3 linked regions of the Cricetulus griseus genome follow. The protein of the gene in region 1 purifies or fractionates together with the protein of each later gene. This does not show direct contact. Links are inferred from orthologs where the notes say so. Each region holds a gene or a part of one and is shown in the gene's direction. Other genes may lie near its edges.

What was found. Proteins that work in one complex are often made in the same cells at the same time.
Region 2: the proteins of Dhx38 (region 1) and Ppp4r3a purify together in Homo sapiens (co-immunoprecipitation; 3 studies listed by BioGRID and IntAct, with this or other methods). This does not show direct contact. The link is inferred for Cricetulus griseus from reciprocal best matches to the Homo sapiens genes DHX38 and PPP4R3A.
Region 3: the proteins of Dhx38 (region 1) and Ppp4c purify together in Homo sapiens (affinity purification with mass spectrometry; 5 studies listed by BioGRID and IntAct, with this or other methods). This does not show direct contact. The link is inferred for Cricetulus griseus from reciprocal best matches to the Homo sapiens genes DHX38 and PPP4C.

Annotation. Positions count from the first base shown.
Region 1 is NC_048596.1:185,930,685-185,941,502, reverse strand, and holds the start of Dhx38 (pre-mRNA-splicing factor ATP-dependent RNA helicase PRP16), read left to right. Parts: upstream 1-5,185; 5' UTR 5,186-5,490; intron 5,491-8,084; 5' UTR 8,085-8,101; coding exon 8,102-8,424; intron 8,425-8,748; coding exon 8,749-8,936; intron 8,937-9,470; coding exon 9,471-9,575; intron 9,576-10,511; coding exon 10,512-10,659; intron 10,660-10,751; coding exon 10,752-10,818. Other genes in the region: Txnl4b (thioredoxin-like protein 4B), read right to left, coding at 693-844, 3,333-3,464. UniProt on the Homo sapiens protein: Probable ATP-binding RNA helicase. Involved in pre-mRNA splicing as component of the spliceosome.
Region 2 is NC_048598.1:104,672,581-104,683,255, forward strand, and holds the start of Ppp4r3a (serine/threonine-protein phosphatase 4 regulatory subunit 3A), read left to right. Parts: upstream 1-4,302; 5' UTR 4,303-4,332; coding exon 4,333-4,474; intron 4,475-10,675. UniProt on the Homo sapiens protein: Regulatory subunit of serine/threonine-protein phosphatase 4. May regulate the activity of PPP4C at centrosomal microtubule organizing centers.
Region 3 is NC_048596.1:73,945,619-73,956,151, forward strand, and holds Ppp4c (serine/threonine-protein phosphatase 4 catalytic subunit), read left to right. Parts: upstream 1-4,160; 5' UTR 4,161-4,313; intron 4,314-4,512; 5' UTR 4,513-4,576; coding exon 4,577-4,674; intron 4,675-6,557; coding exon 6,558-6,609; intron 6,610-7,216; coding exon 7,217-7,267; intron 7,268-7,437; coding exon 7,438-7,539; intron 7,540-8,029; coding exon 8,030-8,203; intron 8,204-8,297; coding exon 8,298-8,424; intron 8,425-9,186; coding exon 9,187-9,376; intron 9,377-9,462; coding exon 9,463-9,592; 3' UTR 9,593-9,834; downstream 9,835-10,533. Other genes in the region: Aldoa (fructose-bisphosphate aldolase A), read left to right, coding at 279-333, 433-593, 886-969, 1,062-1,236, 1,370-1,569, 1,647-1,742. UniProt on the Homo sapiens protein: Protein phosphatase that is involved in many processes such as microtubule organization at centrosomes, maturation of spliceosomal snRNPs, apoptosis, DNA repair, tumor necrosis factor (TNF)-alpha signaling, activation of c-Jun N-terminal kinase MAPK8, regulation of histone acetylation, DNA damage checkpoint signaling, NF-kappa-B activation and cell migration.

The DNA of each region.
Region 1 (10,818 bases):
GTGTCCTGGATTCCAAGTAAGAAGGTTGTACTAAACTAATATAGTAACTGAATCCTAGGATAAGCAACTCCAAGCTCACCTCTACCAGGTAATGAGAAAGCAGACACACCTCTTCAGAGTAAGGGATGACCACAATCTTGGATATAGCCAATAGTACTCATACAGGGGTGTGAACAGGATAGGTGGAGGGCATTACAGAAGATTCCATGTGACTTATTTTGACAAACCTTGAAGAATGACTTCAAAATTCTCTGAGTGGCAGAAAACACTTGCAAGAGAGAAGCGTGTCTCCCTGGCATGAATGCTTCTTTTGCAAATGCCAACTACCAGCTCCCAAAGCTTAGAAACCAGGGATTTTCTTCCAGCAGAGTTTTTTTTTTTTTTTTTTTTTTTTTTTTTTTTTTTTTTTTTTTTTGGTAAAATTATTCTATACTCAGCTAATATGGCTCTTCTATATTTTCTATAACTAAGGATGGTTAGTCAGTACTTCAAAGCTATACTGCTTTTTCATATTTAAGCAAGAAATCACAATTTTCCAATCACACCTAAAACACTCTCACTTTGCACTAAAGTTTCCCATAAAGAGACAACACTCACTCACTTGGCCAGACTCAGGGAGCCAATAGAAAAGTAAGTGAGCTTCTGAACCTGCCCAGATAAAACCAACTTCCCAGACTGGAGAGTTAGCTTACCCATAATCCACTTTCATGTGCTGTCCATTGAAGAAAAATACAGTAGATGGAATATAACTGATGTCAAAGTACTGCGTATAAACTGGAGTGTGGTCCACATCTACCAGGTAGATAGCAGCCATTTTACTTAAGTCAGCAGAGGTCTTTGAGAGCTGTGAATGACAAGATGGATGGAGGTTACACTATACTATTCCAGGTGCATAATGCCTCTTTTGTGAAATGTACTAGAATATTGTATGTGACACTTACTATAACATATTTTGGGGGAAGAAAAATTTTGTTCAAGAAATACTTGAAGCAAGAATCAAGCCCATTTGAATTCCTCATAAGACACCATCCTGGATCTTGCTATGTAGACTAGGCTGGCCCTGAGTTCACAGAGGTCCATCTGCCTCTGCCTCCGAAGTACTGGCATTAAAGTATACACTGCTGTGCCCAGATAAACATACTATTGCTGTTCAGAGGGTGGATCCTTGTTGACAGGGTCAGGAGAAGGCAGTGTGGTGGTTTGAATGAGAATGGCCCTGATGGGCTCATATATTTGGATACTTGTATCCCCAGTTGGTAGCAAGTGTTTGAGAAGGATTAGGTGATGTGGCCTTGTTGGAGGAGGTTTGTCACTGTGGACAGGCTTTGAGTTTTCAAAAGCCCATACCGTTCCCAGTTAGCTTTCTTGTCTTTTGCTTGTGTCAAGATGTGAGCCCTCAGCTACTTTTCCAGCCCATATCTGCCTGCCTGCTGCCAAGCTCCCTGCCATGATGGTCATGGATCCAACCCTCTAAAACTATGAGCCCCAAATAAACTCTTTCTTATATGACTTGTCTTGGTTATGGTGTTTTATCACAGCAATAGAGAAGTAACTAAGACACACCAGGGAAGAGCCCTTACTTGCTGAGCCGTCATCCACATGGGCTCATGCTTGATTACTTTCCAGAAAGGAATCAATACTCACGTAGGGTGAGCTGAGCATGAGGTCTAGTTTCAATGCTCGGAACTTCAAAACAAAACTACAGATCCTGACACACCCACCTGCAACAACTCAGGAACATTCACATAGAGCTGACTCTCCTCAGGCTCTGTCCTCTTAGGAATAAAAGTTAGAGAAGTGCCTGATGCCACCTCCCACAGCTAACTATCTTCAGTGCTTTATACCTGCTAACCCACTTAACAGTTAGTGTATGAGCTGTGCCCATTTTACAGATGACAAAGCTGAGGCAAAAGAGTTAGTTCCAGGACACATAGCTCCTAAGCAGCAGGGGTGGGATTTGAACTTTGGAGGCTTAGTTTCAGAATCAATTAATCTGTATATATCTATATATCTAATTGTTTTGTTGGCATTGGGAGTTGAATTCAGGGCCTTATACATAAGTGGCAGCTGTTCTACCACTGAGCTACACTTCCAGCCTAGAATCTATACTCTCTCTCATAGCTATTTCTGATCATCTTCTTCCAGGTTATGATATCATTCTTACTTATTGACTGGTGTGTGTGTGTGTGTGTGTGTGTGTGTATGTATGCATGATGCATGTGTGAGTATGGGTATACATGGAGGTCAGAGGACAACTTTCAGGATACAGTTTTCTTCTTCACTGTGGGTTGTGGAGACTGAACTCAGGTTGGCAGTCTTGTGCAGCAAGCACTTTCCCTGCTGAGTCACCTCACCAGCTCTGTACATTCACTTTAATGACACAATGCTATTCTGACATTTGGTCCCCAGTTGATGGGTGGGAAAAGGTGCCAGTCCTTGGTTCAATCTCCACGGTAAATAAGAACAAGAAAAAAAAATACAGTAACTCTGTCTCCTAATTTCCCTTGTTACTAATTTGAGTGTGAAGACATACTGTGAAACTTGATCTCTCCACCAGGCACATTCAAGGAGCAGCAAACAAGTAGAGACTTGGCCACCAGGGAAACAGTTCAGAGCCCGCTTTGCATCTTCTGCACCCTGGAGGGTGACTGTTGTTGTGACTGATGAAAGCGCAATGTTCAGACACCTAGGGCTGGCATTTCTTGCTCTTCCACTGCCTGAATTTTCAATTAAAGCTGCTCATTCAAAAATTCACTTACCTGCTGGAGAGATGGCTCAGTGGTTAAGAGTGCTGGATGCTTTCCCAGAGGTCCTGAGTTCAATTCCCAGCAACCACATGATGGCTCACAACCATCTGTAATGAGACCTGGTGCCCTCTTCTAGTCTGCAGGCATACATGCAGGCAGAACACTGTATACATAATAAATAAATAAATAAATCTTTTTTTTTTTTTTTTTTTTTTTTTTGCTTTGTTTTTCGAGACAGGGTTTTTCTGTGTGGCTTTGGAGCCTATCCTGGCACTCGCTCTGGAGACCAAGCTAGCCTCAAACTCACAGAGATCTGCCTGCCTCTGCATCCCGAGTGGCTAGGATTAAAGGTGTGCGCCACCAACGCCCAGCAATAAATAAATCTTAAAAAAATTCACTTATGGCCTAATTCACTTGTGGACAGGCAATGGTGGCACACGCCTTTAATCCCAGCACTCGAGAGGCAGAGACAGGCCAGCCTGGTCTACAGAACGAGTTCCAGGACAGCCAAAGCTACATAGAGAAACCCTGTCTTGAAAAACAAAACATAACAAAAACAAACAAACAAACAAAAAATTCACTCACTATATCATCCAGCTGTAGACAGACAGGGTCCTCATCCCTCCCAAACCTGAGAACCAATACTTTCTCTGCAGTACTTTTGATCGCCTGGTCCACTTCTTTTTTGCTCGTCAGTTTCGGCAAGAGGAAACTCATCTTGAAGAAAATTTCAGTGTTAGTGTGCACGACCAGTTCTACAATGTTTACAGGCTGTTTAGATGAAGTTCATGAGTCCTAATGTAAAGAACAAAACAACACCATTTAGCATCAGCCATGTAACAGGCAATTTAAAAACAAACCTTTCAGGAAAAGTATCTGTGAACAGGCCCCACCCGTGGCTTGCCATTCTTGGGCCCAGCTTCCAGAACTTCATGTGCCATCCTGAATCATCCACCAGGTAACTGCTTTCAGTAATTTCTCTTAGAAATACATGAAAAATTATGTACCATACCAGAAGAACACACACATGCTTCTGTATTTCCACCCCCCTTTTACACAAGAGATAGAATGTATTATAAGTCCAGCAAGTAAGAGATGACATCCTCAAATGTGGGGACTGGATATTTAGTTAGAACAGAACAGGAAGACAAGGCAAAGCCTGTAACTTCAAAGCGCTGATCCCACTCAATAGTCTGTGGAGCTGTGCACAACTGAGTAGGAAGGTAGCTGCACAAAGACAGGTTGGCCTGCCACTAAAGGATACTGCTATCCCCACCCTCAATATCACTGCCTGACTCCAAATGGAACCAGAATTTATGGGAAGTGCTGAGGCAGACAAACTTGCTGATCTCAGCATTCTAGGAGGACGAGCAGTTGGGAATAGCAGAGGCTCAGTACATAGCTCACCCATCTCTCTGCACTTTGCATTGTTTTAAATCTAACATTTAATGAGATTCCCATAGCCCTACACAGAAAACGTCCAGATTTTTATCACGGTAGCATACCATTTCATATGTGGACCACACTTTAGTGGTCCTTCATTGATGGACGTTTGTATATTCTCGTGACCTGGCTTAAGGCGTCTTCCTAGGTGCACTTTATCACATGGCAAACAGATCAGTTATGAGTGTGTGGAGCCAGGCGCTGTGGCACACACCTTTGATCCCAATACTTGGAAGGCAGAGGCAGGCAGATCTCTGTGAGTTTGAGACCAGCCTGGTCTATACAGTAGGCTCCAGGACAGCCTGGGCTACATAGAAAAACTCTTTCTTGAAAAACAACAACAACGAAAGTGTGTGGAAATCACAATTAAATAAATATTCCAAGATATCATCAAAGGACATACTTGAACATGGACAAGTGATTATTATTTCCACTAAGGGTCTCGTTTAGTAGCTCAGGCTGGCTTTGAGTTTGTGGCAATCTTCCTGTCTCTGCCTCACAATTGCTGGGATTACAGGAGCGTGCCACCAAGCCAGGTAGATAACTTATTTACTCAGGGCGGATATGTCTACTTTCCAAAACGTTCCGCACCTGTGTTTTACAAGATGCGGGCGGTTGGGTTACTCCTGGTCCACAGGTGCCAGGGAGGACACAAACCACCTGTCAGCAGTCCGGATTCCTTCACCGATAGCCAAGGCACAACTGTCTCCTTCATCGGTCCCAACCCGGGAAAGGACCTTAACCCCAACTAACCTGGGCTGTTGCTTAGAAACCCTTCTTTGGCCTGCAAACCCGAACAAACGGAAGTGAAAATGAAACACGGACGCAGAAAATGAACGTACCATCGCGCGTCCCAGTCAATAGCCCAATAAGCAGACGGCGTTATTATAGTTCTCGCCCATTTGGCACTGCCCCAACAGGAAGTTATGTCATTTCCGCCCTTAGTAAATATGGCTGACCTCGGTCTGTCTTGCCTCTCACGCCCACAGGCCAGAGGCGGGGTATCAGCTATCACTCTAAGCACGATTGGTCGCAAGGAAACCTGGGGCCCAGAGGAAGACACCGTGGCTTTGAAGGCGTGTTCACGTTGTTTCTCTCTGGCGTCCAGGAACCTTGTATTTCTGGGCTACTCTCGATGGTATTTTTGGACGGATAGAGGACCCCGCGCAGGGCATTATGGGACAATGATGGCCGCTTTCAAACAGTGGAATTTACCTCTTTGAGACCCTCAGACCGAGCAGTGTTCGCGCTGGCGTCCCCAGATCAGTGGCAGAAGGTCCCGAGAGTCGTGCTTGGTGAAGTGAGTATCTCTTCCTCTTTCCAGATCCGTCCTTCGGCCGCCATGGTGGCTCCAGGCGGCCGGGGTCGGTTCGCGGCTTAGGTTTTGGGCCCTGGTTTCAGAGTTCCTCTTGTCCTTGTTACCCAACTTTCTCTACTCACTTGAGCGGTCTTGTGTCTATTCAGCCTGCTCCGGACTTTGTCCCCGTTATGGTCACATCCTTGTGTTTGGGAACGGCCCCCTGAGATCGAGGCATCCGCCCTGCGCCCTGGTTTATTTAGGACGGTGCCCTAACCTGTTACCTAGAGAGTCTGGATAGGGCTCCTGCTGCCTTCCTCCTTTCTCACCGAAGTGTCTCCATTAAGTCTGGTGGTTAATCTATAGGTAGAATATTAACCGCAAAGGGCAGGGAGTTTTTGGTTTTTGTTTTTAAAATCGGTATTGTTGAGAACAATTGACTCAAGGACACATGCAGTTGCTGCCCAAGAAGTCCTTTGTGGCTTCTGTGTCACTGATCTTTCTCCATAATCTGGCCCTGGAATTCCTTGTTTGCTATTTTGAGCGGACAATTAAATCCTTCCTTGACCTGTGTTGTGGATAAACTTCTTGTTGTCCAGAGAAATGTTTGAGTTCTTGTTCTCTTTTAATAGGATATATTTATTCATTTGCTTTAAAATTAGACTTTCATTTTGCCATTGCTGGGTTATAGCAGTCAACAAGACAGCCTCTCGCTTGTATGCAAATGACATTTTAGGACATAAGTCATCATTCAGGTAACTGCTGAGAGTCTGTGTACCTCAGTCTCCCCGTCTGGATTTCCTCATGTATATTTACATGTAACTTTCTTTTTCTGCTCCACCTGATGGAATTTCCAAATGAAGCTCTTGTTTGTTCATCTACATCATGTTTGCAGTACTCCTTGGTAGAGCTGTGCATGCCGATTAGAATATGGCAAAAGAAGTGTAGATTCCAGAGGTACAGTTCTTATGCTTTAACGACTTACTGGAATGAGAATAATTGTCTGTGTGTCCAACATAAGTTCATGCTTCTAAGTAGATGGTATCAGTTAAAGACGAGTGTGTTATCAACCAGGAGATCTTGCAGTCTCTTAAACACTTTCCTGAAATACCACTTCCTTAACTTAGCATTTCTCATATGCAAGTTTGGTAAATACAGTTTCTTATTCAAGAGATTTTTGCCAGCTATGGGCAGCTTTTTTTCCCCCCTTTTTGCACAAAACACTACTGATCACAACAAAAGTCACCAAGTGTGTAGAATATGGATGGTAAAATTATGTCCTTACACTTACACTTTGTGGAACCTGTGGCTTCAAGGGGGAGGGGATAGGTGAGTAGAAGAATGTATATAAAATATTAGAAATATTAGTAAGGAAACTAGTCAGTATACAGGGGCATAATAGCAAATGTGTAATAATTACACTGACAAAACATCTATGGTTCATGTACAGTTGTTAGATTCTCACAGTGGTTCTGTGCAGTGTATAGAGAAGTAATAGCTAACCAAGCCTGCTGCTTACTCTCACAGAAGCAGAAAATGCCAAGAGCCTGGGTATCTTTTTTATTTTTATTTTTTAATGTCTGTTACTAAAGAAGAGGGTGTGCTGCTGCAGCTGACATGAAAAAGGCCAGCGTGTTTGGTTGATGTTTGGAGGCAGTAAGCCAATGGGGATCTTAAAGGTGATTATTGTGATTCTTAAGTAGAGAAAGTAGAAGGGTGAAATTACAGGAGAATAAATTAAATAATGGGTAGGGAAAATCTATGAGTGAGGGCCATGGGCATGAATGAATGAATATGTCACTAAATAGTCTAGCAGTTATGAAACTCACTATGTATCTCAGGCTAGCTTCAAATTTGCCATCCTCTGGAGCCTCCTCAGCTTCTCACCTGCTAAGATTACAAGTGGGTGTCACCGTGCGTAGGACCAGAAACTGGATTTTAATTGAGGTTTCTGACTTACATCTAGTTCCCCTTCTAGTCCCTTTTTGTATTCCAGTAAGAAGTCCTTACTGAAGTTTATTCTTGTCTGGATGATACCCTCTTGATCCTACCACTTGCTCTGTGTATATGTGTCTCTGTGTCTTTCATATATGTTGAGGTGGGAACTGGGAAACTTTTTGAGATCGTCACTGATTTGGTGGGAAAGTCTTCGGAAGTAGCAAAGGGGGCTAGAGAGATGGCTCAGTTGGTGAAGTGCCTTCTCACAAGCATGAGGATCCGAGTACAAGGAAAGCTATGAGTAGAGGCACTTGTGTGCTGAAGAGGCAGACACAGGCAGATCCCAGGAGCTTGCTGACACCCTAGCTTGGCTGGATTTACTCCCAGTCCAGTGAGAGACCCTGTCTCAAAAAGTAAGGGAGCAACTGAGAAAACACTTGACATTGACCTCTGGCCTCATGTGCACACAGTGCCTGTGTACCTGCATGAACACACACACACACACACACACACACACACACACACACACCCTCTGATAGCAGAAGATGCTTTGGGCTCAGTGTAGGGATGGGGTAGCCACTTAAATTTACTAGTTATTCTGGGGTGCGGTAGAACTGAGTTTTCTTATGTTCAATTCTAATGATTCCTGTTCCTTCCAGAGAAATAAGAGCCTGTGATGGAGGACACTGGTGAGGATGCCTCCATCCATCGACTGGAAGGCACCGATCTGAACTCTCAGGTTGGTGGTCTTATTTGCAAGACCAAAAGTGCAACCAGTGAGCAGCATGTCTTCAAAGCCCCTGCTCCTCGCCCTTCATTGCTTGGACTGGACTTACTGGCTTCTCTGAAACGGAGGGAGCGAGAAGAGAAAGATGATGGAGAGGACAGGAAAAAGTCCAGAATCTCTTCTTACAAAGACTGGGAGGAGAGTAAGGATGACCAGAAAGATGCCGAGGAGGAGGGTGATGAGCAGGCCGGCCGGAGTGGCCGCAAAGACAGGTAAGGAAAGAGGGTAAACATTGGTGTCAGAAAATAGTAGCCCAGGTTTATCTCAGTTCCTGCTGGACACCTAAGAGCTTTAGGATTTTATTGTTTTTCTATAATACTGGTGGCGGATAGGAATTGGTAGAGATTTGTGGGAAAAATTCAAAGGCATCTAAGAAGTGGATGATGGAGTTTAAATGCCTGGGTTCTTGCCATGTGCAGGCCTTCAGCACTGGGGAGATGCATTGGAGAGGAATATTGCTTGTTGGCATACCCAGAGATAGAGGGAAATGTTTTCTTCCATGGAAGGCCCTGTCCCAGCTGGTCTCCCTGTTTCAGGCATTACCGATCTGCTCGGGTAGAGACTCCATCCCACCCTGGGGGAGTGAGTGAGGAGTTTTGGGAACGCAGTCGGCAGAGAGAGCGGGATCGGAGGGAGCATGGTGTCTATGCCTCATCCAAAGAAGAAAAGGATCGGAAGAAAGAGAAATCCCGGGATCGAGACTATGACCGCAAGAGAGACAGAGGTAAACTGCCTGTCACCAGTTCTGTTGCCCTTCATCATTTGAACCAGCAAGCCATTCTTTCCCTGTTGCAAGAACTTTTACAATAATGCTCATTAATTGCTTGTAGTACAACTGCTTTGCTTGAGTATGTGGTTCTTGTTTTATTGTGAAAACTGAGGATAAAGGAAATGATGGGTAATCTATTTAAGAAAACAGTTTAGAGTAGCATGGGTGATGGAGAAAGGACAGTGTTGTGGAACAAAATGAGACAGTCCAGTACCAGCCTTGATCATTATGTCTGTAGCTGAGGTTGGCTACACCACTAAATTCTTCATGATAGACATGTAACTGTTCACTTATGATTCTTGTTGGAAAGCAGCTGTTGTGTGAGTTTGACCCTTTCTATCCATTGAGAGGATGTGAGTGTGTGAGTTTTAGCCCATGGATGATGGGGTGTACCTGTGTGAGTGGGGAGGTGTGTGCTTTCTGTCCATGCGTGTGCATATGTTTTAGCATGGAGTACATATCTTTAAGCCCCATGTGTGACTCTTATAGATGAGCGGGACAGAAGTAGGCACAGCAGCAGATCAGATCGAGACGGAGGCTCAGAGCGCAGCAGCAGAAGAAATGAGCCAGAGAGTCCTCGACATCGGCCAAAAGGTATTCTGAGCTCTGTGGTGGCAGAATGAGCAGTAGTCAGCTGTGTTGTCAGGCAGTGAGTTGGAAGTCCTGATTATAGTGTGACCCTCTGGAGTTAGGGGGCCTGAGCACGGTGGGTGTGGTCCTGTCCCTTGCTTGGGTGGATGTACTTCCCAAGGGGATAGGTTGTTTGCTGCAAAACAGGTGTTTCAGATGTCAGGAAACTAGAGATGTGGTGGATCAAGAAGGATTTATTGGAAAAGAACTATTTGTTTTAAGATGAAGAGGTTTGCAGAGAGAAATTGATTCAAGCAGTGAAAGCTGAACTGTTAAATTCAGTCTTTTTAAAAATTCTCATCACACACACACAAAAAGAAAAATTCTCATCACTGCCAGGCAGTGGTGGCGCACACCTTTAATCCCAGCACTCGGGAGGGAGAGGCAGGGTGATCTCTGTGAGTTTGAGACCAGCCTGGTCTACAGATCGAGTTCCAGGACAGGCTCCAAAACCACAGAGAAACTCTGTCTTGAAAAACAAAACAAACAAACAAAATTCTCATCACTATCTTATCTATAGTAAATAAGTACAAGGTTATGAAACAGGGAAATAAGTTGCAGCAGTCAGGATATCTCCTCTGGTGAAGGCATTTGTTGCTAAACTTTATGATCTGAGTTTGTTACCAGGACCCATATGGAAGGAAGCCAACTCCCGAGAATTGTCATCTGACCTCTACATTTGTGCTGTGCCACATGGATACACACAGTTAAATAAATAAATGTAATTAAGAAATAAGTTAGGAAACTAGTTATGGTGGCTTATGCCTATAATCCCAGCACTTTGGAAGCTGAGGCAGGAGGATTGTAAGTTTGAGGCCAGTGTCACCTACATAGAGATACACTGTGTGAAGTCATGCCTCATTGACATTGGATGTTTACTGTGGATGTCTCTGGCCCCAGATGCAGCCACCCCTTCAAGGTCCACCTGGGAGGAGGAGGACAGTGGCTATGGCTCTTCAAAGCGCTCTCAGTGGGAATCACCCTCCCCAACACCTTCCTATCGGGACTCTGAGCGGAGCCATCGGCCATCCACTCGAGATCGAGACAGGTGATGGATAGGTGGGATGTGGGCAGGGAGAGTTGCTGGCGGCGGGGAGGACACAGTTCAGCTTAGTGACAGCTGACCTTGATGTTTCCAAGGACTGTGAGGAGCAAGTACTCAGATGACACCCCTCTGCCGACCCCCTCCTACAAGTACAACGAGTGG
Region 2 (10,675 bases), on another chromosome or scaffold:
ATATATGTTTATATGTGGTTTACAGAATGAATGCCAGTTTAAAAACTTGCAGCAGAGCAGTTTTTGAGAAAGGGCCTGAGTCTGTATTAATAAAATAACCAACCAGGCCCAGTTCCAGAAGGTAGCTACTACCGCAACTACAGTTTCAGCTAGGAGGTGAAAGCCAAATCTGGATGTAAGATAGGGGAAAACAGAGGGATCAGGCCCCTGTATGGGCTAACAGGAAGATGGACAGGCAGTCAAGCAGACCAGGTCAACAGCAGGGTACCCAAGCAAGGCCTAAGTTCTGGAGACAGGGAGTTCTCTGCCTATTGGTCCTTGCCAGGCAAACCAAGTATCAGATGATAGCTTTGTGTGGCTCATGCCGTCACAGTATTTGGTATTCTTTGTGGGGTCCGGGTATTACTCCTTTTCCTTAGTCTGGCATGTTCTGTATGTTCTTGGGCTTTGTTTCCCTGATTGCTTTTAAGATTTATTTTTATGTGCATGGGCATTATACCTACACTTACATACCATGCGGTACTTGTGGAGGCCAGATGAAGACATTGAATCTCTAGAACCCGAGTTACACGTTTGGTAGCCATTGTTTGGTTGCTGAGACTCAAACCTGGTTCCTGTGGAAAAGCAGCCAGTACTCTTAATGGTGATCCATCTCTCCAGCCCCCTTTGTGGTGGTTTGAATGAGAATGGTGCCATGGGCTAATATATTTGAATGTTTGATTGCCCAGTTGGTGGAAATGTTTGGGAAGGACTAGGAGGTGTGGCCTTGTTGGAGGAGGTGTGTCACTGGCTGGCTGAGGTTTCAAAAGCCCAGGCCATTCCCAGATAGCTCTCTCTGCCTCATGGTAGTTGTCCCAAAATACAAGCTCTCAGCTACTGCTTCAGCATTGTGCCTATGTCATAGTATTTGTCACAGCCATTGAAAAGTAACAGAAACACCCCAATATTTTAATAGACCCATGTCCTCCTACAGTCTCAATTCATAGGGTAGCTCCCTTTCTACTCCCAGGAATGTAATGTATTGTGGTCTGTGCTGGGTGGATGGTACCTGTCAGATTGTAAGATTTATGGGTTCACTGAGGGGCTGCAGTCATCCTTCTCCCTCAAAATGGAATCAAGAGCTGCTTGTGGAATGGGGTCTCCTTGGGCAAGACACAGCCTAAACACAGCTACAATATGGAGTAACTTAGAGTCCGACATAGTCTGATGTCCACAGAGGCCCTCTCCAGAGTGACTGAAGTTTAGAAGAATTTCACTGTAACAATATTTGCTGTGAAGACTGCCCCCCAACATATAGTTCGTGTGTGTGTGTGTGTGTGTGTGTGTGTGTGTGTGTGTGTGTGTGAGAGAGAGAGATTTCTTTCAAAACAGCAAAGCTTAAAGTCTGGATGTACACAAACTAAGGTAGGGTCTCATTCCTTTCCCCAGATATTTTCTGGGAATTTTATTAGAGGGTCAACCTTATCTATAGTAAATATACCCATGTTCTTGTGATCTAGAGTTTTAGCTTATTAATTATAATCTTGTCAGTTGCCCCTCAGGACCTCATTTAGATTCCGAAGTAACCTTTTCTTTTTTTCTTTCTTTCTTTTTCCTTTGGTTTTCTTTCCAACACAGGTTTTCTCTATGTAGCTTTGTAGACCAGGCTGGCCTCGAACTCAAAGAGATCCGCCTACCTCTGGATTAAAGGCATGCACCACCACCACCTGGCTTCCTCAGTAACCTTTTTAAGATAGTAATTTCAAAACCCACCCAAATCCTGTATTTGACTATGGGGGGGGAGAGATAAGAACAAACAAACAAACAAAAAAACTGTGACTCTACTGTCAAATGTCCCTCTGAGCTCCTCACTTCCTAAATCTTCTCTTACTAAGTCTACATTAAAATACTCTGCTGGGTGCTGGCTATTGTGAAATTCTGAGAAGCACAAATCCTGGTATGGCCTGATTCAAAGTCCCAAAAATGCACTTTGTGGGTGGGAGGAGTGGGAGACCCAGAGTATAGCAATTTAGAATAAAATTGTTTTAGAGGGGAGTGGCTCCAGAAGTCACACATTTGACTATAAATAATGTCCTTTCTCATAGTATTCCAGGAGAGAAATACTGTGACTCTACCTAGGTGTGCTTTCTTCCAGTTTTCTTTCCCCAGCAACCCAGTTTCAGAGAGAACTGAAAGCAACAGTCTCCTCTTTGATGAGTAAAGAATTAAGGCAGATAAGGAACTATTTATTTGGTGTGCAGCCTCTCCTGGTTTATCTCCAAGTCCCTTTAAAACAGAGGTTCTCAACCTGTGACCATGCACAGCAGATACTTACATTACGATTCATAGCAGTAGCAAAATTAGTTAGGAATCGGCAGCAAAATAATTTTATGGTTAGGGGTCACCACAGCATGAGGAACTGTATTAAAGGGTCGCAGCCTTAGGAAGGCTGAGAACTCCTGCTTTAAGATAAGCAGCACACATAGCCAGGCGTTGGTGGCACACGCACATGCCTTTAATCCCAGCACTCCGGAGGCAGAGGCAGGCGGATCTCTGTGAGTTCGAGGCCAGCCTGGTCTACAGAGCGAGTTCCAGGATAGGCTCCATAGCTACACAGAGAAACCCTGTCTCCAAAAATAAAAAAAAAAAAAAAAAAAAAAAGATAAGCAGCACAGCGTTGCGCCACACTGATTGTTAATCTGGTCAGTCTGGTAGTCCATGGGCTTCATCTAGATGCTTGGAACGACTGCATTCCAGTCCTTAGAAACAGCAAACGCTTTGTTTTTTTTTTTGTTGTTGTTGTTGTTTTGTTTTTGTTTTTATTTTTACATGCTTCCCAATTTTTGTTTGCAAACGCTTTCAGACACGGCTTCCGCTTGTCTCTGAAGTTGTGGGTGAGGAAGGTCCCAGCTTCTCACATACGTTGCTTTGGCCAGTCGGAGCAACTCAGTGAGAACCCTGTTTCAAAAACAAAAAGAAATTTATCTTGACCATACAGTACTTCGTTTATCTTTGCAAGCACTTGAAGATGTGGCTTGCTTTGTTTTGTCTAGCACACACACACACACACACACACACACACACACACACACACACACACACACACACACGCAAAGAGCTAAATAAAGGACATCAACTCTGATAACCGGTACCCGTTGTATTGTGAGGTGAGTGCTCAGAATGACCCTCTCCCACGAAACGAACCCCGCGCCCAGTGCGGGGCCCACCACATCCCGCCCACCCCGCAGCCCAAACGAGTGTTTGTTTTGTTTAGTTTTTTTCCCCCAGAAGCTTCTCGATTCCAGGCCAAAGGAGGAGGCCAGACCCGTGCAAAAGCCCTCCCCGAAAGCGGCGGGGGTGGGAGAGGGGGGGAGCACACAAGGACGTGGGCGAGCTACGGGATCAGCGTCCAGAACCCAGGCCGGCTCGCAGGCCGCCAGGCGACTCCACACCCCTTCCCAGCCCAGAACAGGGCTGATGACGAACTCAGAATGCGACGGACGCACACGCAGCCCGCGCTCGCACGACAGTACGTGCAGGGCAGCGCGAGGGAGTCCCGGTCCGACACCGGCGCGGCTCGCGTCCCGCCTCCTCCGCTCCGCCACCCCCGCAGCTCCGGGTCCGCCTCGGTGCGAGGCCTCCGCCGGCGCGAGGCCGCTGGCTCGGGTCCTGTCTCTTTAAGTGGTGGGGCCTGCGGGCCGCCCCTGCCGCTTCTGCCTAGTTGGCCCCGCGCGCCGCCTTTTGAGGGGCGAGTCAAGATGGCGGCGGCTTTGGCTCTGTGAGGAAGACGGAAGAGGCGGTGGGGTAGGGAAGGCCGCTTGGAAGAAGAGCGAGGGGCTCTCGGCTCGCCAGGGACTTGCGGAGTCTCCCGGGCAGCGCTAGCTCGTCGGCTGCGGATGCTTTAAGCGGGAGGAGCGGAGCGGAGGCTCCGGCGGCGGCGGCAGGGCCAGGTACGAGGGAGGAAAACATGGCGGCGGCGGCGGCCTGAGGAGGCGGCGGCGGCGGCGGCGCGGGAAGCGGCTCTGCGGAGGTCATGGCGGAGGCGGGAGCAGGCCTGTGAACCGAGCTGCCCCTTGTTCGGACGGCGGGCCGCTAGGCTGCGCAGCGCTGCGCTTCCCTGTCGGGGCTGCCGGGCGGCCGCGCTCACCCGGCCTGGACAATAGCGCCGAGGAGCGGGAGGCGAGCGAAGGCGGCCCCGGGCTCGGCCCCGGGAGCGGGCCATGCGAGCGGCGGCGCGGCTCCGCGGCGGCCAGCGGCGGCACTGAGGTCCCGGAGCTTCCCGTTTGCGGCCGCCCGCCCGCTTTTCTTGGACACAGTCCCCGGGCCACTCGGGCGGGGCCCCCGGCCGGCACGATGACCGACACCCGGCGGCGGGTGAAGGTCTACACGCTCAACGAGGACCGGCAGTGGGACGACCGAGGCACCGGCCATGTGTCCTCCGGCTACGTGGAGCGGCTGAAGGGCATGTCCCTGCTCGTCAGGGCGGAGAGCGACGGTGAGTGGACGGAGCCCACTGGCTCCCGGGGAGCAGTTGGGAGTACGGTAGTCTGGACGGGTACCCAAGCCCCCTGGATGGGGTGGAGAGTTGTTGGGGTGTTGTTGCCGGAGCCCCGGAATCCCCGCGGTGGGGAGGGTCGGGGCCGAGCGGAGCGCACGGAGCACGTTGCGCCGTGCCGCCTTTAGAGTGCGGAAAGGTCGGGGACCTGGGATCCGGAGCCCGGCGTGGTTTTTGCACTTGCGTGACCCTGAGGGGGGGCTGGGGGGGAAAGGCACTTTACATACCATCTGCCCTTAGTTCACCCCCGTCTGTGAAACAGACGTGAGGCCTTGCCTGGAGCTCATCAAAGTTCATAGCTGTTGCACACTTTGGGGAATGTTCTGGCCTGGTGTTTTGTTTTGTTTTTAATTTTTGAGCATTTTCCACTACATCTTTGGGATCTTAAGGGTCGGCAATGCTGGTCTATATATCTGGCAACTCCACCAGGCAGAGGAAATGCTGCTTTGCTTTGCCTTGCGAGGATACATTTGACTTGTCCGGTGTTGGTTGTTTTTCTCATAAGAAAGAAAGATTGTTGTTGTTTTGTGTTTTTGAGACAGGGTTTTGTTTTTTGTTCTCTGTGTGGCTCTGGCTGTCCTGGAACTCCATCTGTAGACCAGGTTGGCCTCGAACTCAGAGATCCGCCTGCCTCTGCCTCCCCAATGCTGGGATTAAAGTTCGCCACCATGCCTAGCCAAGAAGGGGCAGACTTTGTTTGTAATTCTACTGTGGGAACCTCTGAACCTTTGGAACATTTTATTGCAAGACTTTGATTGCTTAAGTGTATGGTCCTCATTGGGGTCAACTAACAGGTGGGGAGAAGTATTTTTAAACCTTGAATCTGCGTTTCTGCTTTCCCTTCAGGTCTATTGAAACAGCCTTCCGGGCCCGAAGACCAAGTTGTTCAAAATAATGGGTTCACGTATTTTTGTCGTTGTTTTGTTTATGACAGGGTTCTCTGTGTAACCCTGACTGTCCTGGAACTCCCTCTGTAGACCAGGCTGGCCTCAAATTCAGAGATCTGCCTGCCAAGTGCTGGGACTCTAAAGGTGTGTGTGTGTGTGTGTGTGTGTGTGTGCCACAACCACCCGATTCGGTTTCTCACCTTAAATTAATAGTTTCTTCAGGGTTGGCCGTTTTCCTTGGTTACATTCTGTGAATTTCACTTAATGAAAGAAAATATACATGTTGAGCAAAACTTTTCAAATTGTTACTTTAGGGTATAAATCTAGTTACCTTGTTGCATTAATCTGAGGGTCAGTTTAGTGTGTTTGTAGTTGTTTCATATCTGAATTATTACAAACTTACTTCAAAGGTTTTTATTCTTTCAACTATACCCAGAACTCATTCCATGAAAAACAAGATTCTCCTGGTTGTAATTGAAGATTGTAGAAGCATTGATTTGAAATGGAAAATGGTAATTTGGAGTATAGTACCCACAGGTTATCTTTATAAAGATACCCCAGTGGTTGAAAAGTTACTTCTGCAGATATTTTTAATAGTCTCCAACCTGAGGCAGTTCTGGGGGAATTGGAGGGTCAGACTGGGTCTACATAAAGTTCTAGGTCAGCCAGGGTTACATAGTGAGACTTGGTCTAGGGGGGAAAAAAGTTTGATTATAGTAGGTATAATTTTCTTTCTTTTTTTTCTTTCTCTTTTTTTTTTTTGTTTGTTTGTTTGTTTTTCGAGACAGGGTTTCTCTGTGTAGCTTTGGAGCCTATCCTGGCACTCGCTCTGGAGACCAGGCTGGCCTCGAACTCACAGAGATCCTCCTGCCTCTGCCTCCCGTGTGCTGGGATTAAAGGCGTGCACCACCAACGCCCGGCTCAGTAGGTATATTTTTCAGAGTTCTTACTTAGCATTAAAAAATGCAAGTTGAGCCGGGTATTGGTGGTGCACGCCTTTAATCCCAGCACAAGGGAGGCAGAGGCAGGCGGATCTCTGTGAGTTCGAGGCCAGCCTGGTCTCCAGAGCGAGTGCCAGGATAGGCTCCAAAGCTACACAGAGAAACCCTGTGTCGAAAAACAAAAAAAAGTACAAGTTGAATGTGTAAAGACCTCCACCTCTACCTTTTTGTGTATGTTGAAAATGAAAAGTAAATTGGAAATAAAGGTGTGGTGGTGGTGGTGGTGTTTGGTTTGGTTTGGTTTGGTTTGGTTTGGTTTGGTTTTTCGAGACAGGGTTTCCCTGTGTAGCTTTGGAGCCTGTCCTGAACTCGCTCTTGTAGACCAGGCTAGTCTTGAACTCCGAGATCTGCCTGCCTCTGCCTCCTGAGTGCTGGGATTAAAGGCGTGTGCCACCACCACACTAGAAATAAAGCTTTTAAGGTTAAATTAGCTGCTTGTTTTGAGGGTGAGATTACTGGGAATAGCATTCAGGGTCTCAAGCATGCTAGGCAAGTGCTCTACCACTGAACTAACTCCAGCAAACACCCAGTTAGAATTTTCAATTTAATTATATGTAGGCTTAAGCTGATTCCTTGAATTTCTTCACACCAGTGTGCCTTATTTGATTATACGAAGACCTTTTTGTTGTTTTTTTGGGAAACAGTCTCCTGTAGTACCAAAAATCTGGAATTCCAGGTCCTCCTGTCTATCTCTCCAAATTCTGGGATTTATCGGTATACCACCTCAATCCAACTTCTTTGTTTTGTTTTAGAGTCATTCCCTGTAGCTGTTCTCTGTGTCTCCTGCCTCAGATCCTCATGTTGTGATTGCTGGCAGTGAGCTACCACAGTCAACCAGTTTACAAAGACCTTTTGAAAGGATGATCATGAAGACTTAATTCAGTGCTATCTTGGAAAATCTCTTAACTAGGTTTTGTGCCGGGAGGTGGTGGCACACGCCTTTAATCCCAGTACTTGGGAGGCAGAGGCAGGCAGATCTCTGTGAATTCGAGACCATCTTGGTCTATAAGAGCTAGTTCTAGGACAGCCTCCAAAGCCACAGAGAAACCCTGTCTCAAAAAACAAACAAACAAAAACACAAGGTTTTGTAAAAATCTGATGTTTTTATGCTCTTTCATATTTTTATCACTTAGGAAGTAGCCTGTAAGTCTTTTTTTCTCCATTTGGAGATTTGAAGTTCTAATTTATTACAACTGGTAAAATGTTTTATTTTTACCCAAGTAGGAAAAGAGCTAAACAAAATTACTAATCCAAACCTTGTAAATTTGTGTTACAAGGAAAGCTAATTTCAAAGAATGTATTTAATCCGGGTGTGGTACCTTATTCTTAATTCCACCGCTCTGGAAGCAAAGCAGGGGGAGATCTCAGAATTCAGGGCTACATAGTAAAACGTTCCCTAAACAAAAAAGGAAAAAATGGACTTAGAAAAATTGTGGGATACTTATGAAGAAATTTATAGTTCTAATACTAAAGTTTTTTTTCCCCCTTACAGGTAAATTCCAAATAAGATTAGTAATAGAAGTTTATTGAGTGCTTCCTATGTGCCAGGGCCTCTTCAAGCAATTCACTTGTATTTACAAACATAATTCTTAAAACCATTCTCAAATTAGCCATGTTTTATAGATAATTTAGAGTCTGAGATAATAATTATAGGTTGGTTCAGTCTAGGATGGTGGTCTGTATTTTAGTGAGAAATCTAGCCTGCAGCTTAAAGCTCTTATGGCTAATTACGATGAATGTAATCTCTTATGCTGTGGTCTATTTGTGTGCTATTGTATTCTTGGCCTCAAGGATTATTTCAAAGAAAGCAAAATTTGAGTTTTACTCGAATTAGCTACGTAGTGAGGATAATCTTCCATTCCTGATCCTGCCTCTATTTCCTCATGTTGAGGTTAGAGTTATGTTGCATCTTCATGCTTTATGTAGTGCTGGAGATTGAACCCTGGGCTTTCATGAATGCTAGACAAACACCAATTGAGCCTTGCACTCGGCCCTAAGATAGTTTCATTTCACTGATTGATTGAGGTAGGGTCCTACCTACTCTGTAGCCCTGCCTGGTTGCTTAAAGTTATGGTGTCTGCTACCAGTTTGGATCACCCATTATTGTGTGCTTCTCCATTCTGTTACATGTAATTGGGAGTTCTTTTTTTTTAATTTTCATTGTGATGAATAAAGAAAGGGGTTTTTTGTTTGTTTTTACTGGTAGTTGTGAGCCACCTGATGTAGGTGCTAGGAACCAAACTTGGATCATGTAGAGCAGTGGTTCTCAACCTTCTGAATGCTGCGACCCTTTAATATAGTTCATGTTGCGGTGACCATGTCCATAAAGTTATTTTGTTGCTGCTTCATAGCTGTAATTTTGCTACTGTTATGAATTGTAATGTAAATATCTGATAAGCAGAATATCTGCATGTGTTCCCCAAAGATTCATAACCCACAGGTTGGGAACTGCTGATCTGGTGGAAGAAAAGCAAACAATGGACTGGAGAGATGGCTTAGTGGTTAAGAGCACTGGCTGCTCTTTCAGGAGACCTGGGTAAGATTTTCTAGCACCCACATGGCGGGTAGCAACCATTTGTAACTCCAGTTTCAGGGGATCCAGTGCACTCTCTGGCCTCTGGGCACCAGGTATAGGTAAAAGACTCCTACATATAAATTAAGAAAAAAAAAAAAAAGATTTAAGACAACAGGCACTTTTAGCCTGAGCCTTTTCTCTAGCCTTCAGGATATACTTTTTAATGTTAATAGTTTACATTTTTATGCATATGGATGTTTTGCCTTCATGCTTTTCAGTGCTGCCACATGCAAACAGTGTCCTTAGAGGCCAGAGGGGGGCATTGTATCCTCTTGCACTGGTGTTACAAATGATTGATAGAACCGTGTTTGTACTGGTAATCAACCTGGGTCCTCTGGAAGAGCAACCAGTACTCTTTAACCCTTCTGAGTGTTTCAAACCAGAGTCTTTGCTGTATAGTCCAGGCTGGCCTCAAATCTGGGTTCTTTTTCCTCAGTTTCTGTGTACTAGGTTTTAGGCATGAGCCATGCCACCTGGCCATTAACTCATTCTTGGTGGTACGTTCTTTCTGCTAGTGAATACTGAAGCTGTGATGCTAGTGAAGACAGTATTCTGGAAAAGCTGTGTTGTGTTGGGACAGAGTGAAATGAAGGGATGGAGCTATCTGTTAAAAATCTTTGAGTATTTGTTTTGTAACTATCACCAGAACCAAACCCAGCATGCACATCCACCTGAATCTAATTAATTGGCTGATGCAGACGATAGAGCTGTACAAGAACTCAGAAGTTTTCAGCTTACCCCAACCTCCAGTACTGCCCTGTGCATCTTAGGCAGGTTCTCTTCTACTAAGCTACAACATCCCTAGCCCAAGAACTCTGATGCTAACTCAGCCCCTCTTATGACGGGCTATGAGATTCATATAAAGTTATCCAGCTAAGAATGTGTACTAGAAGTTTAGAAGTGATAACAGTTTGCATGGAATGTTGACTAAGCAGTATCATGAACCTTGTGTTTGTCATGTAGAGCTGGGTCACCGTTGTCAAAGCCCCACTTCCTTTTGCAAATGGTCGTCAATTAAAAATCCAAGTTATTAAGCACTTATGTATACTAGATATTGGGGTTAGGCCCTTCACATAAATTTTCAGTGAGTGCCCATAGCATCTTTTTCCTATTCATAAATTTTAATGCTTCGATTCTTCGATAGTTTTTCGGTATTTTCAAACACAGACTTAAAAAGAAATTGGGGGTGGGGTGTTTCTTCTTTTTCTGTTTTCAGTACTAGCTTTTTGAGGTACTGGGAATTGAACTTGGGGTCTTGCACAGCATAGACAAGCACTGTATTCTTTAGCTATACAATAACAGCCTTTTTTGCTTACCTTCCCCCAGCCCAAGTTTTAATTATGTATATGTGTGTGGATCTGTACAAGTGAATTCTAGTGCCAGAGGAATCAAATCCCCTGGAGCTGGAAGTACAGGTAGCTGTATACTGGTAATCGGCTCTAGTCCTGGGGTGGGGGTGGGGGGGCAGTGCATGTTCTTAACTGCAGAGATATCTCTCGGCCATTCTTTTACTTTCTATTTTGAAATGAGTTTCTCCCACTTGCTTGTGTAGGCTTGAATTTGCCATCTTTCTGCCTTAGTCTCCAAGTAACCTGTTATTGCCAGACTGGGCTCAAAAGATTTTCTTGAATTCTATTATCAAATCTCTACTATATAAAAACTGATGAAAAGTGGGGGA
Region 3 (10,533 bases), about 110 Mb from region 1:
CCAGCCTGGTCTACAAGAGCTAGTTCCAGGACAGCCTCCAGAGACACAGAAACCCTGTCTTGAAACCACCCCTCCCCCCAAACAAACAAAAAAAAAGAGTGAAATGGTTTGCTTAGTGAGAGGTAGTGCCAGTTCCTCTAATTAATATTCCTTTCAAATACTGTGTGTATCTTTCCTCATGGGACTCAGTAAAATATGAGAGGCTGCAGTGAGGGTTGAAGTTGACCTGGGTAGAGGAAAGGGTGGTAGAACTAAATTGTTGCCCTGTACCCTGCCAGGTAGATAAAGGCGTGGTGCCTCTGGCAGGAACCAATGGTGAGACCACCACTCAAGGTGAGAATGGTTTGCCTCCTTCCCTTCCCCACGAGCTCAGCAGAGCTCTAGCATGAGGAGAATCTCAAACCTGCCCCTCTTTACTCTGTCCCTCTTCAGGACTGGATGGGCTGTCTGAACGATGTGCCCAGTACAAGAAGGATGGAGCTGACTTTGCCAAGTGGCGTTGTGTGCTAAAGATTGGGGAACATACTCCCTCAGCCCTTGCCATCATGGAAAATGCCAATGTTCTGGCCCGTTATGCCAGCATCTGCCAGCAGGTGGGACTGAACTACATGGGCTAGCTTTCTGTCCATCTGCCAGGATATCTACCTCCTCCAGAGCAACTGTTAATAGATACCTACCAAGCATCAGGCTTGCTGGTGGAGGCCACTCTGCAAAGCAGTGATGGGAATTGGCATGAAGGGGGAATTGTTTGTCCCCTGTAATCTGCTGAGGCCTTTGAAGCCTTGATTCACTATCCTCAAGATAAGATCTTGGCTAATGATGGTGGAGAGCTGTAGGTGGGGTTCCCAGTCAGGAGTCCTCACACTACCCTTTACCTCCCCACAGAATGGCATTGTACCCATTGTGGAGCCCGAAATCCTCCCTGATGGGGACCATGACTTAAAGCGCTGTCAGTATGTAACTGAGAAGGTAGGTTGCCTGTCTTTCTAGCCAGGGTAATGTGGTGGGCAGGGTTCCACTCAGGTGGTCCTTGTCCTTCATCTCACCTTGCCCTGTTCCAGGTACTGGCTGCTGTCTACAAGGCTCTGAGTGACCACCATGTCTATCTGGAAGGCACACTGTTGAAGCCCAACATGGTCACCCCAGGCCATGCCTGTACCCAGAAATTTTCCAATGAGGAGATTGCCATGGCAACTGTCACAGCACTTCGTCGCACAGTGCCCCCTGCTGTTACTGGTGAGGCCCACTCCCTTGGCTTGCTGGAGTGGATACACCATCACTTTGGCCTCTCCGGGTAGCTTTTGGCGGCTACTCCCTGCATCTATCTCTTAACGAAGGCCACCTCTTTCCTTCTGCCCTTGTTCTCTAGGGGTCACTTTCCTGTCTGGAGGGCAGAGTGAGGAAGAGGCATCCATCAACCTCAATGCTATCAACAAGTGCCCACTGCTGAAGCCATGGGCCTTGACTTTCTCTTATGGCCGAGCCCTGCAGGCCTCTGCTCTGAAGGCCTGGGGTGGGAAGAAGGAGAATCTGAAGGCTGCCCAGGAGGAGTACATCAAGCGAGCCCTGGTAAAGCATCATGAAAGGGGGGGTGTGAGCAAGTGGAGGGGACTTGGCTCTCACCTGATTTCTCTCTTCCCTTTTAGGCCAACAGCCTCGCTTGTCAAGGAAAGTATACCCCAAGTGGTCAGTCTGGAGCTGCAGCCAGTGAATCTCTCTTCATCTCTAATCATGCCTACTAACCAGAGGTGATCTAAGGCTGGCTGCCCCATCAACACTCCAGGCCCCTGCCTACCCACTTGTGTTCAAGAGGGGGCCTTCAGGCTCTTTCCCATCACTCTTGCCCTCGTGACTGGTGTGTGGTGTTGTCTCTGAATGCTAATTCTGCCATCCCATCCAGCCCACTGCCAATAAACAGCTATTTAAGGGGGGAGTCTGTTGTCCATGTCTTATAGGGGATACGGGAGGCCTGAGGAGAGAGCCTTATTTTGGGTTCTTCCTTTCTGGGTAGTTAAAAGGATGCAATAAGGCTTTGTTGATCTGTATACTTTTGAGGAAGGCTGAGTATTGTGAAATGCTCTAACCACATCTAATTGAAAGGGAGTGATCTGCTGGAGTTATAGGCATAGGGCACTGAGCCTATTTGGCTGGGAGCCAAGCCTGGGTTTTGTGAATGCTAGGCAAGGACTCTGCCACTGAGCGACACCCCTCTCTCTCATTCCTAATTTAGGCTTTGTTATCTTGCCCAAGATGAAACTTTCTTGGTGGGAACAAAGCATTTAATAAACGTAGCTATTTTCCCATTGCAACAGGAAATGGAATTACCAATGGCTTTTTAGGAGCCTTTGAAGACTCAATCTTCTCCCACGCAGATATAGGTACACACAGAACTCAGGTACACAACTGCAGAATTCAGGTTTCGGGTTAAGGACAGAGCAGAACAAGGCCCCCCCCCCCCCACCAAACTATGGACTACCCAATGTTGAGTGTTGCCTGAATGTTTGCGTACAATGTGTGCCTGATGTCCTTGGATCCCAGAAAAGGGTATCAGATCCCTTGGAACTGGAGTTATGGTTGAGAGCCACCATGTCGGTGCTAGGAATTGAACATGGGCCTCCTGGAAGAGCAAAAGGTACTCAAAAGTGTTCAGCCCCATCATACCTCTAGTAATTTAAAGTTGTTGAAGATTATAGGTATAAACGGGGACTTGTTTTAGTCTTAACCATTTAGTTTTCTGTGGTTTCTGTAACCTTCCTGGTCTGAATCTTTTCTGTTCTATTTCCCTTTCAAAATATTTTTCCTTTTCACACTTTTCTATGCACAGAATAGTCTTTGGAGTATCAAAAGTCTGCTGTCCACATCTTTCTATGTATGGCCTATAGCCCAGTGGTTGAACACTTGCCTGTCATCCATCTGGTTCTAATTTAATTCTGGGAAACAATCTTTCTGTTTGGGATCTCTCTCCTATCCCTCCCCCCCCAGGGTTTCTCTATGTAGCTCTGGCTGTCTATAGACCAGGGTGGCCTCAAACTCAAGAGATCCACTTGCCTCTGCCAGGATAAGGTGTGGGCCACCATCCCTTGGCTTCTAGAAAACACATAAATAAAAACATGTTCAAAATTGAGGGATGGTAAAAGACATTCCAAAGGGGAGTATGATGTTCAAAAGTGTAAATTAGGAAGATTAAAAATCAGGCTACTCCATCAAAAGATTAAGGAATCAGAAGACTTTCAATGTGAATTTGGAGAGTGTTAGGTCTTTTTTGTATTGCTCTGAGTTTCAGAAAGTAAATGAAAGATGAGAACCACTTTTCCTGGGTTCACATTTGATCCTTGGTTCAAACACCAAATTTTTAGCTTTTCAATTTAGCAATTTAACCTGAGCCACCAACACCCTGAAGGAGTATGATCAGACAATAGGAAGTAATGTTGGGTGTGATTGTGTAACACCTGTAATCATAGCACTTGGGAGGCCCAGATGAGATTTGCTGTGTGTTAAGGTCAACTGCAAATTTTGGGCCATCCTGAGTTACAATGCGACCCTGTCAAGAAATAGATAATAGACTATTCTGGAATTAGGGAATCTTAGAAACAAGCTTGATGTGGGGAGAGTAGGTACTTTTTTTTTTTTTTTTCCAATTAGACCCCCTGTGGGTCTTGGAGATCCAATTTAAGTCAGTTAGGCTTGGTGACAGGCAGTCCTTGGTGTCAAATATGCTATTTTGGTGGGTTTTGGTTTTGTTTTTCCGAGCGGTTACTATGTAGCTATGAGACCCTCAAATCCTCGGTCCAGCCTCAGCCCCCTGAATGCTGGGATTACAAATAAATGTGCCACATACCTGGCCCAGGTTCTGAGTTCCCATGGCAAAGGCCCATGGCAAGATACTTGGCTAGGGTTGGCCCATTCATTTTGGACTATACATGTCTGCAATGCTTAGCCTTATTCTAAACACTGGGAAAGCAACGATGAACTGAGCAGTTCACTTCTCAGATCTGTAGTAGGAGCAGGACAGAAAGTCAGCAAGAGAAAGTGCAATGTGAGATGACAAGCTTACCAGAGCTCACGTCATTTGGCGTACATAACTGACGCAGAGATGCTTGCCTACCAGACCCGGTCGCCCGCCCACTTCCGACTCTTTAGTTCCTCCCGTGCGCCGCGAGAGGGGCGTGATCGGTATATGTCACTTCCGGCGCGCGACCGATCTGGCCTCCCTTTGCTTCCGCGGCGAGGCCGGAAGTAGAAGCGACGGTGGCGGAGGCCCAAAGCGGAGGGAAGTGGGGAGTCGGAGAGACCCAGCCGGAGTCCTAGCGGCGGTAATTGTCCGAGGCCCCTCTAGGCCACCGTCCTTAGCGCGGGCCCGCGGGGTTCGACGGGAGTTGGCGGGGTGCGGCCAGGGCATCGGGACGCCGAGGGTCCTGGACCGCCGTGAGGGGAGGGGGGGGCGGTCCTAGAATCGAGTCCCCCCTCCCGCACGGACCCTCTGATTGGCGGGCTCGCCTTCGCCTTTCCCAGGAGACCCCTGTGCGGTCCGGAGGGGGCGGCGGCCCCGACTCTGACCCGCGCCGGGGGGTGGGCCATGGCGGAAATCAGCGACCTGGACCGGCAGATCGAGCAACTGCGGCGCTGCGAGCTCATCAAAGAGAGCGAAGTCAAGGCCCTCTGCGCGAAGGCCAGGTGAGCCCGCAGGTCCGCAGGAGAGAGGCCGGCCCGTCGCCCACGGGTTTCCGGCTGGGCACACTCAGCTGAGAACTTAGGGCTTGTCCCATCCCGGAAGCATTCCCGGAGAGGAGCGGTCCCGAGGGCCACTTCTCCCCAGGAACCACGGGTCGGCTGTAGATACGTTTCTAGTGGAGTCAGAGTGAGTGGCAAAAAGTTCTTAGGAAAGTTAGGAAACCCGGCCTGCTCTACTGGGGCGAAAGAGAAAGTTTCTTGGAGAGCTTGAGTTCTGGGACCGACCTTGAAGAATAAGCAGGTTCAAGAAAACAAACAAACAAGAAACCTCGTGGTTTGTAAAAGTCTATCAGTCCTTAAAGATTAGGTGGTTTTGTGCTCACTTTAACAAGCAAGGGCTATAATGGTTCAGAATTGCCAGCAAGGAGGAATGGGATCTGAAGCTGGTTCTCTGAGTGCTGATCCTTTAAGTTGTGATTCAAGAAGTAGTTGGGTCACTCTCATGTTCCGTTGGGATCCTAAGGAAAACACAGTAAACTAGAGTAGAACATAATGAGTTCCTTCCACACCAGCTTGGTTTACTGAGTGAGGATGTTCAGTAAAATGGTTGTGAATATTCATTCAGTGAATCTCGGCTTGAAGCATGGTGTTTGGGTAAGTCATGAAGTGGTAATATTTATGGTGGGAAGGGCACACTAATGGTGTATTTGTGGATTGACGCTCTTGGGCTTCTAAAAGAGGGTAGTCCTTGAAAGATAAACTCTAGCTGAGGAAACACAGGGACAAGGAACCTTCAAGCAGGGTAGAAGTAAAAGGGAAATATGTAGGCAACAGTTAAGGCTTGTTACCTGCCTTTTCTGGGAACTGTCTCAGTGTGGCTTCTACCCTGTTTAATAGAACAGTATCATAGTTCTTACCCTTCCCCTCCAATCCTTCGAGGCAGGAGGGAGAGGTGTGCGAGTGTGCGATCGAGGGTATCTGTGTGTCTGTGTTTCCTCCCATGTAGCCCTAGCTGGCCTTGAACTAGGCTGGTCTTGAACTCAAAGCAATCAGTGTGCGCTGGGAATCTCGGAATATGCCTGCCCCAGTGCTGGCTGCCCCATGGCACCAGCCCTAACAAACCTTCCGTGCTGCGTTGGCCTGTGTGTGAGCTGCAGTGTTTATGCTACACTTGCCAAGCTTGGGTTTAGAAATGGAGGACTGCTGAGATTGGACATCAGGAACTACCAAAGGGATTTTGAGAAGTAGTCACACTACAAGAACTAGAGCCAATTCCATAAGCTGTGTGTTCATGGTGTGCTGTACAGTCCTTTAATTCCAGCACACAGGAGGAAGAGACAGGCAGATCTCTTGAGCTTGAGACTAGCTCGGCCTAAACATCAAGTTCCATTCTAGCCAGGGATACAGAATGAGATCCCGTCTCCAAAAATAAATAAGATTTATTGTTTACAAGGAAGGAGCAGCACAACCCTTTGAAAAAGTGTATCCGATTGGTAGGGAGTGAGGTCAGAACTCAGCCTAGGGACAGTCAGTGCTCTAAGAGAAAAGGACAACCCTCCCAGAGTGTGTGCTGTACTTTTGAGAAGGAACCACAGGGTGAATCAAGGCTGGATATGCCCCAGCCTGCTTGGAAGGGCTTGAATAGGAGTTGGGGTGGAAGTGAGAAATTGGACTTTGTCCAGTTGGCAGCAGGAAGCCATGAGCAGGTATTGAGTGGTAGAGGGCCATGGTCAGTGCTTTCTGACCAGATTCATGGGGAAGTGCATACTTCCTTCTGTCCCCTGGAGGTTCAAGGACTACCTCATGTCCTCCCTCCCTCCAAAAAAGGTCAGGAATTGGGCTGGGCTGGCCTGGCTGTGGTGACCCTGGTCTTCTCCTGTCTCCAGAGAGATCTTGGTAGAAGAGAGCAACGTGCAGAGGGTGGACTCGCCAGTCACAGTGAGTACTCTGTCTCTTGGACCCTGACTTGGTCTTTTAAGACACATGGAAATCCTAAGTGGTGTAACAGCCCCCCACCTCTAAGTTAATGAGAGGCTAGAACACCCCAGGTATCTTGCTTCTCAATCATCTGGTGAGCCCTGATGCAAGAATTAGATAGTGGCACAGATCTTGTAATTTAGTGATGGAATGTTTCCCCAGTATATATGAGGTCTTGAGTTGTGTTCTATGTGCCACAAGAAAATAAAAGATGCTGTAGGAATTTTGGTTTGTCCTGGTGACGCTCGCAGCCAAGGCAGAAGAAGTTTGTGGATCAATAGCCCTGTTAGTAACTGTGCTGAGCACATAGAGGCAAATGGATGAAGCCAGTCTTCCTGAAGCTGCAAGTCTGCCTGCAAAGACTCTTCTGCACCATAGCAGTTGGCTTTTGGTGTGATAGATGACACCAGAACAGGCTCACTTGGGTTAGAGAGGGAATTTGGGTCCTGAGATGGGGTGGTGTCACCCTGGCTGGCCTGGAAAGTAACATGTGTTTTGAAGGATGGTGTCTGGGAATAGAGGGACTGTGCCTTTGTCCACTCTTTCAACCCACATTCTTTCTTTCCAGGTATGTGGTGACATTCATGGACAATTCTATGACCTCAAGGAGCTTTTCAGAGTGAGTGGGGGGATACTGGGACTTTGAACCTAGGGTGACAGAAAGCCATGATCATTGATAGGTCTTAGGCTGCATGGTCTGTGGGTGAGAGAAGGGGCTCAGCTAGACTCTGGTTGCTGTAGCCAGAGAGGATAGTTTGGGGCCAAGCAGAGTCGTATCCCTCCTCCCAGGTAGGTGGCGATGTCCCTGAGACCAACTACCTCTTCATGGGAGACTTTGTGGACCGTGGTTTCTACAGTGTTGAAACCTTCCTCCTCCTGCTGGCTCTTAAGGTGAGGACTCTTGGCCCCTGGAGCCTGAGCTTTGGCCACTACTTGCTGCCCTCATCACCTTTCCTGTCACCTACCTTGGAACTTTGCTGTGGCTGTGGACTGTGTGCTTAGCGGGGCTAGTCAGGACTGCTGCCATGAGTGGGGCCATCTCCTGAGCCCTTACAGAAGAGGCTGGTGATGTGAGTTTTGGAAAGCAGGCAGAGGCTGTGTGTTCAGGGAGCAGCAGGAGTTAAGTGAACTGGGAGAAGTCATAGTGAAGGGCCACATGGGGTGAGTGTGGGGTGCTAAGGACAAGAGCCAGAGTCTGGCAGTAGCTTCTGGAAAAGGCTCTCAGGAGCTTGTGAGGCAGGGACACCATGATTTATGTAAGAGACTGCGGGAGTCTGGGCCAGGCAGAGGACTGAGTGAGGCTAATGGATGTCTTGGAGACTTGGGATGGTTAAGTGGGAGGTAGAGACTAGAACCAGTTCTTGCTTGGTGCTACCCCTAGGTTCGATATCCTGACCGCATCACTTTGATCCGGGGCAATCATGAGAGCCGCCAGATCACCCAGGTCTATGGCTTCTATGATGAATGCTTGCGCAAATATGGTTCAGTGACTGTATGGCGCTACTGCACTGAGATCTTTGACTACCTCAGCCTGTCTGCCATCATTGATGGCAAGGTAGGTTGGCCCTGGATCTCCTGGGGGGAGGGGGAGGCTGTGCTGGGTCTCTGGGCTTTTAGTTCCTTCTCTCTGGTATCATTCTCCCTTCTAGATCTTCTGTGTGCATGGGGGCCTCTCCCCTTCCATCCAGACCCTGGACCAGATCCGGACAATTGACCGAAAGCAAGAGGTACCCCATGATGGACCCATGTGTGACCTCTTGTGGTCTGACCCTGAAGGTGAGGGCAATACCTGAGCTGGCTCTCCGTGTGTCTTGTGAAGACTGGATTAAGCAAGTGTATGAAGGGAAGTCAGGCAGGGAAGAGGAGGGCAAGTTTGGCCTGTACTGGCTTCTGCCTTCTCCTTGTGTGACTGGATCCTCCTCAAGGAGCAGAAAGCATGAATGGTGGTGCACTGAGGCCTACTGTGGGTTGGCTCATGAGTTTCATGGCTTAGAGGGTCTGTTCAGGATGAAACCCTTGGCTCCCTGGGGGGAAGAGGTCATAGACCTTGACAGTAGCTTCTTTGGAGGTGAGACCCATTCCCTTAGAACGAAGACCTCTGACGGTTCCTAATTTTGTGTGGTTCCCCTCTAGTTAGGGGCGGAACTGAGGTTTAAAGCCTGGCTTTCTGAGTACCAGTCCTAAGCATACTCTCTAATTCCACCACTGTTACTGCAGTCTGCGTCATGTGGCATAAGGTGACCTTACTGCCAGGAAAGTGGTTGGTCATGGCTGGTGCTCTGGGTGTGAGCACTTCCTATCACTTGAGTGCTGCTTGAACAGCACATTGTATGTTATGGCCACTGTGATGAGGAGGTAGGTCCCAGCCATGAAGCCATCTTTCTCCTCGGAGTGCCTCTGCTCCAGTATTTACTATCCTATCTTCCAGGGTTCCCTAGAACAAGCCTCTGGTTGATGAGGGGAAGAGGCACAGGCTTCTAATTCTGTGGTATAGTAGTCAACCAGAGGACCCCACACATTGTCCTTGTCTTGTCTCAGACACAACAGGCTGGGGAGTGAGCCCCCGTGGGGCAGGCTACTTGTTTGGCAGTGATGTGGTGGCCCAGTTCAATGCAGCCAATGACATTGACATGATCTGTCGCGCCCATCAATTGGTGATGGAAGGTTACAAGTGGCACTTCAATGAGACCGTGCTTACTGTGTGGTCAGCACCTAATTACTGCTACCGGTAAGCTGGCAGGACCAGGAGCCGGGGTAGGGGTAGGAGTAGGGATCTAGGCCAACTGTTGCTAACTGTGCTGTTCCTAAATCCAGCTGTGGGAATGTGGCAGCCATCTTGGAACTAGATGAGCATCTCCAGAAAGATTTCATCATCTTCGAGGCTGCACCACAGGAAACACGTGGCATCCCCTCCAAGAAGCCGGTGGCTGACTATTTCCTGTGACTCCTAGGCCCCAGCCCCTCTGGCCCTTGGACCACTGTGACTGCCCTCTGCCCAGTCGGAGGCCGGGTGTGGAGGGGCTGCCTGGCTTTGCTTGCCCTAGGGTGCGGACTGCTCTGGAGAGGTTGGGGCCTCCACTCCAGGCTTCCTCTCCTTTCTCCCATTTGATCCTTGAAGTTTCCAGTCATTTTTTTTCCTTTTTTTTCTTTTGTTTTGTTTTTAGATAAACATTTTGAGAAAAAAAAGAAAAAAAATTCTAATAAAAGAAGAAAAATAGTCTTGAGGGTGTTCTGTTACGTTTGACTAGGCCCTGAGGTAGACAAGGAGCCCTGTCCTGCTTGTCCACTAGCCCGGAGCCTTTAGGCTCCATCTGGTGATCTTTCCCAAAGGCTTGCTTAGTACTGGGTAAAAGTGAGGTTCCAGGACAGCCTTTATTCTTAAAACAACCATTGTGAAGAGATTTACCCATCCCCCTGAAGGGGGACATGCGCAGAGCAGGCTGCTTCACAGCCACAAGGGCAAGCATCTGGAAACGGGTCTGCCCTCAAAGCTGTGGCTCCCCAGCCCCACCCAGGGCCAACACCATTAGCCCAACGTTTCCTGAGCACTAATGTCTTTTGAGTTTTATTAACAAAAATACTCTGATCCTGAGAACAAGCTGGTGTGGCTTACACCAGTGATGAGGCCCCTGGGAGGTGGGGGCACGGGGCTGAGGCCCCCATTTGGCCAGGCAAAGTCTTCCCTCCATTCACACTGAGGTGAGAGCTGAGAAGGGGAAGCTGGCCCCAGCTGGATTCTGAGCAGCTTTGCCTGAGCTTTGAAGCCAGAGGGGGTGGAGTGAAATCAAGGTGTGAACTAAGGGGTAGAGGAGAGGCCCAAGGCAGCCATTTGGTGGGGGGGGGAGGGGGCACCACTTGAATGAGGGTGCTACCAGGCTGGGGGAA